2 linked regions of the Oryctolagus cuniculus genome follow. Each later gene encodes a partner of the first gene's protein in a complex. Links are inferred from orthologs where the notes say so. Each region holds a gene or a part of one and is shown in the gene's direction. Other genes may lie near its edges.

Evidence for each region.
Region 2: the proteins of GNAO1 (region 1) and C3AR1 are in contact, whole or in part, in a cryo-EM structure (PDB 8I95), measured with the Homo sapiens proteins. The link is inferred for Oryctolagus cuniculus from reciprocal best matches to the Homo sapiens genes GNAO1 and C3AR1. Residues at the interface, in NP_066268.1 of Homo sapiens: Ile28, Ala31, Lys32, Asp33, Val34, Asn194, Leu195, Ser264, Asn316, Glu318, Tyr320, Asp341, Ile342, Ile343, Ile344, Ala345, Asn347, Leu348, Arg349, Gly350, Cys351, Gly352, Leu353, Tyr354; in NP_001313404.1 of Homo sapiens: Asn57, Asp119, Arg120, Val123, Val124, Pro127, Ile128, Gln131, Asn132, Arg134, Asn135, Tyr356, Ile359, Arg362, Gly366, Arg367, Phe368, Ser371, Lys374, Thr375, Val378, Leu438.

The regions. Positions count from the first base shown.
Region 1 is NC_091449.1:40,103,822-40,107,972, forward strand, and holds the start of GNAO1 (guanine nucleotide-binding protein G(o) subunit alpha), read left to right. Parts: upstream 1-1,269; 5' UTR 1,270-1,360; coding exon 1,361-1,834; intron 1,835-4,151. UniProt on the Homo sapiens protein: Guanine nucleotide-binding proteins (G proteins) function as transducers downstream of G protein-coupled receptors (GPCRs) in numerous signaling cascades.
Region 2 is NC_091440.1:101,922,794-101,926,869, reverse strand, and holds the start of C3AR1 (C3a anaphylatoxin chemotactic receptor), read left to right. Parts: upstream 1-1,204; 5' UTR 1,205-1,348; coding exon 1,349-1,389; intron 1,390-1,618; coding exon 1,619-3,071; 3' UTR 3,072-4,076.

The DNA.
Region 1 (4,151 bases):
TGCCTGGACAGCAGGTGTGCTCTGCCTCAGGGGGAGTGCACAGCGGTGCACAGGGGCTGTAGCAGGGAGGATGCTGGGAAACACCCCCTGCTATTGGCCCAGGAGGCGCTCGGGATGGGAAGGCCGAGCTCAGCAGGAGCCCTGGCCCCGAGGCATGCAGATAGGGGGGGGGGGACGAAGGCCTCCTCTGGTTCTGTCCATTGCTTGTTAGGCTGGGCACTAAAGCCCCCCTTCCCTTCCAAGCCTCCCTCCCCCTTGCTCAAGGGGCTGGGCTGAGCGCCAGGGAGGCCTCAGTGCTGGCCTCGGGTGACCAGGCCTTGTCTGAGACACAAGCCCAGGGCTGTGGCTCGGGATGCCGGGGAGAAGGTGGACTTTGAGTCCAGGCCCTCCTGTTGACTAGCTGTGTGACCCTGAGCGAGTCACCCACGCACACAGGGTGCCCACCCCAGTAGGGCGGCTGCGATGTTGAAGTGAGATGCCAGCTTTGTCCAGACCGACAAGATAAGAAGAGGCAGTGGACAGATGGGGGCGGCGGAGTCAGAAAGTGGGGCGTGCCTGGCCTTACAGTGCAGGAGATCTGTTTGCCCTGGCCATGCACAAAGCACTGCAAGGCCCAAGGTGCCACGTGAGGTCGGGACACAGTCCCTGCCCTGAGGACAGGTGCAAGCAGCAGCAGCTGGGACAGGAATGGGTGCACCCTGTGGAGCAGCTTGGCCTGGGGCCAGGGGAGGGCTTCGCTGAGAAGGGGACGCTGAGAGGGAGGTGGGCTGGGGCTGCCCCGGCTCGTTTGGGGAGCGGAAGAAGGACCGGAGCTCTGAGAGGGTTTTAGGACACAGAAAGAGGCAGGGACTTCGTAAGGCCTCAGTGAGGAGTTTGCGAGTTAGGAATGATGGGAACCTATCGGAAGAATTTAAGCAGGAGTATTACTGTACCCATGAGGGTTAGGTTTGACAGTGAACCAGAGACCCTGAAAATAGCGGCTTTGAGAAGATAGAATTTTTTTTTTTGACAGGCAGAGTGGACAGTGAGAGAGAGAGACAGAGAGAAAGGTCTTCCTTTGCCGTTGGTTCACCCTCCAATGGCCGCCATGGCCAGCGCGCTGCGGCCGGCACACCGCGCTGATCCGAAGGCAGGAGCCAGGTGCTTCTCCTGGTCTCCCATGGGGTACAGGGCCCAACCACTTGGGCCATCCTCCACTGCACTCCCTGGCCACAGCAGAGAGCTGAAGATAGAAATTTAAGTGGACAAAAGAAAAACCGTTAAAATAATGCCGGTCTGACTCCAGATAGTGCCGCACCTCCTCCAGCCAGGCTGGTTGGAGATCCTTGTCCCACTCTCCCTAGGATCGGACCTTGTCTTCATGATGCAAGTCGGCTGGAGAGCTCCAGCCATCACACCCAAGTTCTGGGCGTTAGGAGGAGGAAGTAAGAGAAATAGGGTGCCCCTTCCCTTTAAAACCCGTCGCTGCCTTTCAGCGTACATCTCATTGCACAGAACCAGTCCCAAGGACGCCCCGCTGCAAAACGGGAAATGTAGTCTGTGGCCATCAGTGTGTTTCCTTCTTGGGCTTCTTGTCCGGAAGGAGAAGGGGAGAGTTGATGTTAGGAGGAAACCGACAGCCTCTGGCCTGGCGGGAAACAGAAGAGAGGCAGGACGGAGGCACCACACCCCGGACCTGGGAGGCTTCAAGGCGGATCGGTCCGGCAGGGCTCCAGGCCTATGGGTTCCAGAAGCTGGGCCCGTAGCGGTGCCGCCAGATGAGGAGCAAAACAGGAAGCCGAAGGGTGCTGCCGCACAGGACCACGCCCCGGCCCCTGCACAGGGCAATGAGGAGGTGAGGCAGGGAGGAGGGCTCTGGCCCACGGGCTGGGCGGCAGAGTCCAGGAATCATCAAATGCAGCTCCCCCCGCCCCCCCCCCCCCACCGTGGAGGGCATCCATTCCAGTCGCCCCTCAAGGAGCGAGCCCAGGAGCAGAAAGCACAGAGTTGAAGAGAGAACCACACTGCCCCCGTAGCACCATGGCTCTGGGGTGCCCAGCGGGGGGTGTTTCTCCCCTGGCACTTGGATGCTGCCGCCTTCTAACTGGGCTGCCCGAGACCCTGACAGCGGGGCCCCAGGAGGAAGCTTGGAAGACTTGGCCGAGTCTCTGGCCTGGGACAGCACCAGACTGCCCGAGGTCAGCCAGGCACCGGGGGGCAGGGTGGGGGCAGTGCCCTGACTCACAGGCCTCGCTCTGTTCCTAGCCCCAGGTGCAGGCCCCACCCCTGCTCTCCAGCCCACGCCTCCCTGAGTCACCACTGCCTCCCTGAGGCACCCAGAGCCCAGGCCCCACGGCCACCTTTCAGGTCACCACCGCCAGGGCAGGCACTCAGCAGCCCAGTGCTGACCCTGGGGAGCCAGGCTGTCTCGTTGGGCAGCCCCGCATTGTCAGCTGGGGGTGACTTGGGAACCCAAGGGCTGGGCATTCAGGACGCTGTCCCCAGGGAACCGGATTTGAGTGAGCAGGGTTGGCGTGTCTGGCCAGCCTCCAGGCCAGGGGCAACTTCCTTCCCTGGGCAGGCAGGGGCACCACTGCCACAACCCTTCCACTGACCCTGTGCCGTGGACAGACCCTCCACCTGAGTGGCTGTGTGGCCAGCAGGCCTAGAGGGCTTTGCCCCACCCCTTCGATACGGAAACCTGCTGACCACACGCCTGCTGACTTCCCTCCCTTTGTGTCTCTCCCGCCCTCAAAAAAGGCCTGTGGGTTTTCAGTACCTCCCACTCGTGTCCTGGGCCGTGTAGTCTGCCTCTCCTCGGCCTTCATCGGCGGGCTCGCAGTGGACCAATCGTCCAGTGATAACCACTGCACCCAGCCCGAGGACAACACCTCCACCCCAGAGGGCCTGCCGCCCCACTCCCAGCTCCTCCATCAGGTGTCATTGCCATCAGAGGTGTGGGCCCTGACTGCTCTCAGCACGCATAGCTCTGCCCCCAGCGGCGGCCGTGGAGGCAGAAGGCTCTGAGTCTCGAGTGCCAGCTCTGCCAGTCGCACCGTGGCCTTAGCCGAGTGCCTTCCTCTCTGGAGCTCCGAGGCTCCCCACCTATCAAATGGGGATTACGTACTTAGAGTGCTTGGCACTGCTGCGGCAATGCTAACAGGCCTCCCCAAACTGAGTCACTGATTCAGCTGAGGATCAAAGACCCAGGGTGGGTTCAGCTCTGTGCCATGCACCCCAGCTCCTCTTTCTGGGGTGAATGGGGAAGGCTGGGCAGGTTCACAATGATGATATAGGCCCCGAGTACACGGAGACCCCAGGGCTGCCTTAGGGACAAGCTGCTGCCCCCACGCCGTTCCGTGGGCCACGGCAAGGCCTGTGACTATCCTCAGAGTCAAGGAGATGGGAACACCCTCTGCCTCTAGGGAGTGCACCTGCAGAGATTCAGAGAGGGCTGAAGAAACATGCCCATTGCTGCAGCTGCCAGCTCCCTAGTGAGGAAGCGGAATGTGGGGCTGGCGCTGTGGCACAGCCAGGAAGGCTACCGCCTGTGAGGCCGGCGTCCCATGTGGGCTGCTCCACTTCCCACCCAGCTCCCTGCTAATGGCCTGGGAAAAGCAGTGGAAGATGGCCCAAGAGCTTGGGCTCCTTGCCACCCACGTGGGAGACCCGGAAGAAGGTCCTGGCTGTTGTGGCCATCTGGGGAGTGAACCAGTAGATGGACGATATCTCTCTCTGTCTCTCCCTCCCTCCCTCCCCCTCTCCCTTTAACTCTTTCAAATTTAAAAAAGGAAGCAGAATGTTTGTGCCCAGAAGCCCTTTTTGAACCGTGAAGTGCCGTGTGTGTGTGCAAGTGCCAGAGATGGCAGCTGTGTGACTTCCCCCAGAGCCTTGTGAGTCTCCAGCAGGTTTACTTACAGCCGCTGAAAACATGAGGGGAAGGGAGAAGAAGCCCGTGGATTATGCAGAGCCTTTCCTGCAGGCCCAGTGCTGTCCTTGCCTGCACAGTGTACCTAAAGCAGTTCTGCTACAGCCCCTCCCAGAGGGTGGGCCACAGGTCACAGAGGAGTCAGTAGGAATTCATCCAGTCGTTTTATTATGTACACACATACACACACACACACATACACACTCACACACACATGTGGTATGGCTTTGGTGCAAAGTGCATC
Region 2 (4,076 bases), on another chromosome or scaffold:
TTAATTTGAAATGTGAGGAGGAAGCACTCCCATCTGCTGGTTCACTCTGACAAATGCCCAGCGCTGGTGCTGGACCGGGACCAAAGCTCAGTCAGGAACGCATTCCACCTTTCCCACACGAGTGGCCAAAACCCGAATAGCTGAGCCATCACCGCTGCCTCCCAGTAGCTTCATTAGCGGAAGCTGGAATCAGGAGCCAAAACATAGAACCCCGGTACTCCTATGTGGAATGCAGGTGTCTTTTTTTTTTTTTTTTTTTTCAGGCAGAGTGGACAGTGAGAGAGAGAGAGAGACAGAGAGAAAGATCTTCCTTTGCCGTTGGTTCACCCTCCAATGGCCGCTGCAGCTGGCGCACCGAGCTGATCCGAAGCCAGAAGCCAGGTGCTTCTCCTGGTCTCCCATGGGGTGCAGGGCCCAAGCACTTGGGCCATCCTCCACTGCACTCCTAGGCCACAGCAGAGAGCTGGACAGGAAGAGGAGTGACCGGGACAGAATCCAGCGCCCCGACTGGGACTAGAACCCGGTGTGCCGGCGCCACAGGCAGAGAATTAGCCTATTGAGGCGTGGTGCCGGCCACAGGTGTCTTAACTACTGGGCTAAACCCCTGCTCTTGTTTAGTAGGGGCCATTGCATGAGGAAAAGAACCAATGAAAATATGGAAGATTGAAAATACAAGAAAAAGAGAAATTCACACTGATACATTTTATGGACTTCTAAATAAGGTTATCTTTATTTATTTATTTATTTATTTTTATTTGACAGGTAGAGTTACAGACAGTGAGAGAGACAGAGAGAAAGGTCTTCCTTCCATTGGTTCACTCCCCAAATGGCACTATGGCTGGTGCTGCGCCAATCCAAAGCCAGGAGCCAGGTGCTTCCTCCTGGTCTCCCACGCGGGTGCAGGGCCAAGCACCTGGGCCATCCTCCACTGCCTTCCCGGACCACAGCAGAGAGCTGGACTGGAAGAGGAGCAACCGAGACTAGAACCCGGTGCCCATATGGGATGCCAGCGCCACAGGCAGAGGATTAACCAATTGAGCCACGGCGCCAGCCCCCAAGGTTATCATTTTGATAGACACTTAAATCTATCCAAACAGATCTTACAAATTTTGATTGCATTTTAGTTTATTATTTTTCACATTATTTGAAATGGAGAGAGAAAGAGGAGACAGAGAAAGAGATCTTCCATCCTCTGGTTCACTTCTCAAATGCCCACAACATCCAAGACCAGCCCATGTTGAAGTCAGGAGCTCAGAATTCAACCCAGATCTCCCACAGAAGTGGCAGGGACCCAAGTACTTGAGCCATCACTTGCTGCCTCCCAAGGTGAACCCTGGCAGGAAACTGGATGAGAAAGAGAGAAGCCAGGACCTCTGACATAGGATGCAGGTATCTCAAGGGACAATTTAACTGCTGTGCCAAATGCATGCTCCCCAAATTGTCTAACAAAGAATGTTTCTGTGTGTTCCAGTGTGAGGCCAAGAAATGCAAACTAAAACAGTGTGCAGGCTCTCTGCCTTTGTGTTTCCCCATCACCCATGTGACGGTTAGACGTCTAGGAATACGCATTTTTTAAAAGCTATTGTTAGTGTTAACATTTCTTTTTATCTTCTTGCAGCAGATTAGCCATGGAATCTTTCTCCGCTGAGACCAATTCCACTGAATTATTCTCACAGCCTTTGGATAACCCCCTCATGATTCTCTCTATGGTCCTTCTCAGCCTCACTTTTTTATTAGGGCTGCCAGGAAATGGACTGGTGTTATGGGTGGCTGGCCTGAAGATGCAGCGGACGGTGACCACGGTTTGGTTTCTCCATCTCACAGTGGCAGACTTTATCTGTTGCCTCTCCTTGCCCCTCTCCCTGGCTCACTTGGTTCTCAACGGATACTGGCCCTATGGCTGGTTCCTTTGCAAGCTCATCCCCTCCGTCGTTATCCTCAACATGTTTGCCAGCGTCTTCCTGCTCACAGCCATTAGCCTGGACCGCTGTCTCGTGGTCTTCAAGCCAATCTGGTGCCAGAATCATCGCACTGTCAAGACAGCCTTGACTATCTGTGGGTGCATCTGGGTGATGGCCTTTATAATGTGCATTCCTGTGTTTGTGTACCGGGAAACGTTCACCTCACATGGCCATGAAATGTGTGGCTACAATTTTGATCTCTACAGCTCACTAGATTATTCAGACTTCCCCTTTGATCTCGATTTCCTGGAAAACGGGTCTTTTTACAACTCCATTGTTCAGCTGCCAGGAGACATGGATATTGGGTTAGATCCTTCCTCTATCCAAACAGATGAGCAACTGTGGACAGCAACCATGGACCTCCATTCTCAAACATTTCAAGGACCTTTGAGAGACTCATTCCCCACAAGATTATCTCATCAACCTCCACGTGATAATTTATTCAAGCCTACCAGTGTCGTTCCACCTACAGTTCCCAATGGGTTTCCCACTGAAGAGCATGGAACTAACCCACTGGATCATTCTGGTGCTTTCCTGCCTACTGACTTAGAACTTCTTCCTAGTACTTCTGGACATTCTTTATATGCATCTGAACTATCGCAAGATCTCCAGTATGATTATTTAGATCAATATAAACATGTCAGTCAACCCCTGCTGGTAATAACCTTCACAAGGTTAGTGATCGGTTTCCTACTGCCCTTTGTCATCATGGTGACCTGTTATACTTTCATTGCCTGCAGAATGAAGCAGGGTCGCTTTGCTAAGTCAGGGAGCAAAACCATTCGCTTGGCCATGGTGGTGGTGACTGTGTTTTTTGTCTGCTGGGCTCCATATCACATGGTTGGAGTCCTGTTATTGTTTTTTGATTCAGAAACTCCCTTTGGGGAAACACTGGTGGCCTGGGACCATCTATCCATTGCTTTAGCATCTGCCAATAGTTGCTTCAATCCCTTCCTTTATGCCCTCTTGGGGAAAGATTTCAGGAAGAAAGCAAGGCAGTCCTTGCAGGGCATTCTGGAGGTGGCCTTCAACGAGGAGCTCACACACTCCACCAGCTATACCCGAAACAAGGCCTTTTCAGAAAGGAGCACCATCAGCACAACTGTGTGAAAATCTGGAGCAGAGGTTCTGACCTAGCGGGAGACATTCCCCACAAGATTATCTCGTCAACCTCCACGTGATAATTTATTTAAGCCTACCAGCATCGTTCCACCTGCAGGATGAGGGACATGGTGGACAGAAGAATGTGGAAACCTTCAGTCGAGTATGGTCTCCAAGTATGGTCCTGGACCACTGCCCTCAGCATCACCCGGAAAGTTGTTAGAAATGCAAATTCGCAAGCCCTATCACAGACCTGTCGAATCAGAATCTCTAGGGGATGGGGCCTGGTAGGGGTTTTAACAGGCTTTCATGTTTCTGATTAACACATAATCTGAGAAGCATTTCTACCTCAAACTAAGCCATGTGAGATAAATGAAAATCAAATCTGTTTTTTAATATTTCCATCATTACATTTTTTCCTTAATATCATCTAAACCCCCTTCTAGATTAAATTTAAAACAGCAGGGGATGGTCCAAATGCTTGGGCCCTTGCTGTCTCTGTGGATGGAGTTCCTGCCTCCTGATTTCAGGCTGGTCCAGAGCTGGCTGTTGCCATTTTGAGAATGATCCAGCAGATGGACAATCTCTCTCTCTCTCTCTGTCTCTATCACTCTGCTTTCAAATAAATAAATCTTCTTAGAATACCACCAAAAAATTTTAATTATTAGAAGTATCTTTCAGGGCCAGTGCCGTGGCATGGTAGGTTAATTCTCTGCCTGTGGCACTGGCATCCCATAGGGGTGCCAGTTCTAGTCCTGGCTGCCCCTCTTCCAATCCAGCTCTCTGCTACGGCCTGGGAAAGCAGTGGAAGATGGCCCAAGTGCTTGGATCCCTGCACCCATGTGGGAGACCAGAAAGAAGCTCCTGGCTCCTGGCTTCGAATCAGCGCAGCTCCAGCTGTTGCAGCCACCTGAGGAGTGAACCAATGGAAGGAAGACCTTTCTCTCTCTCTCCCTCTAACTGTCTATAACTCTTCCTCTCAAATAAATAAATAAAATCTTAAAAAAAAAAAAA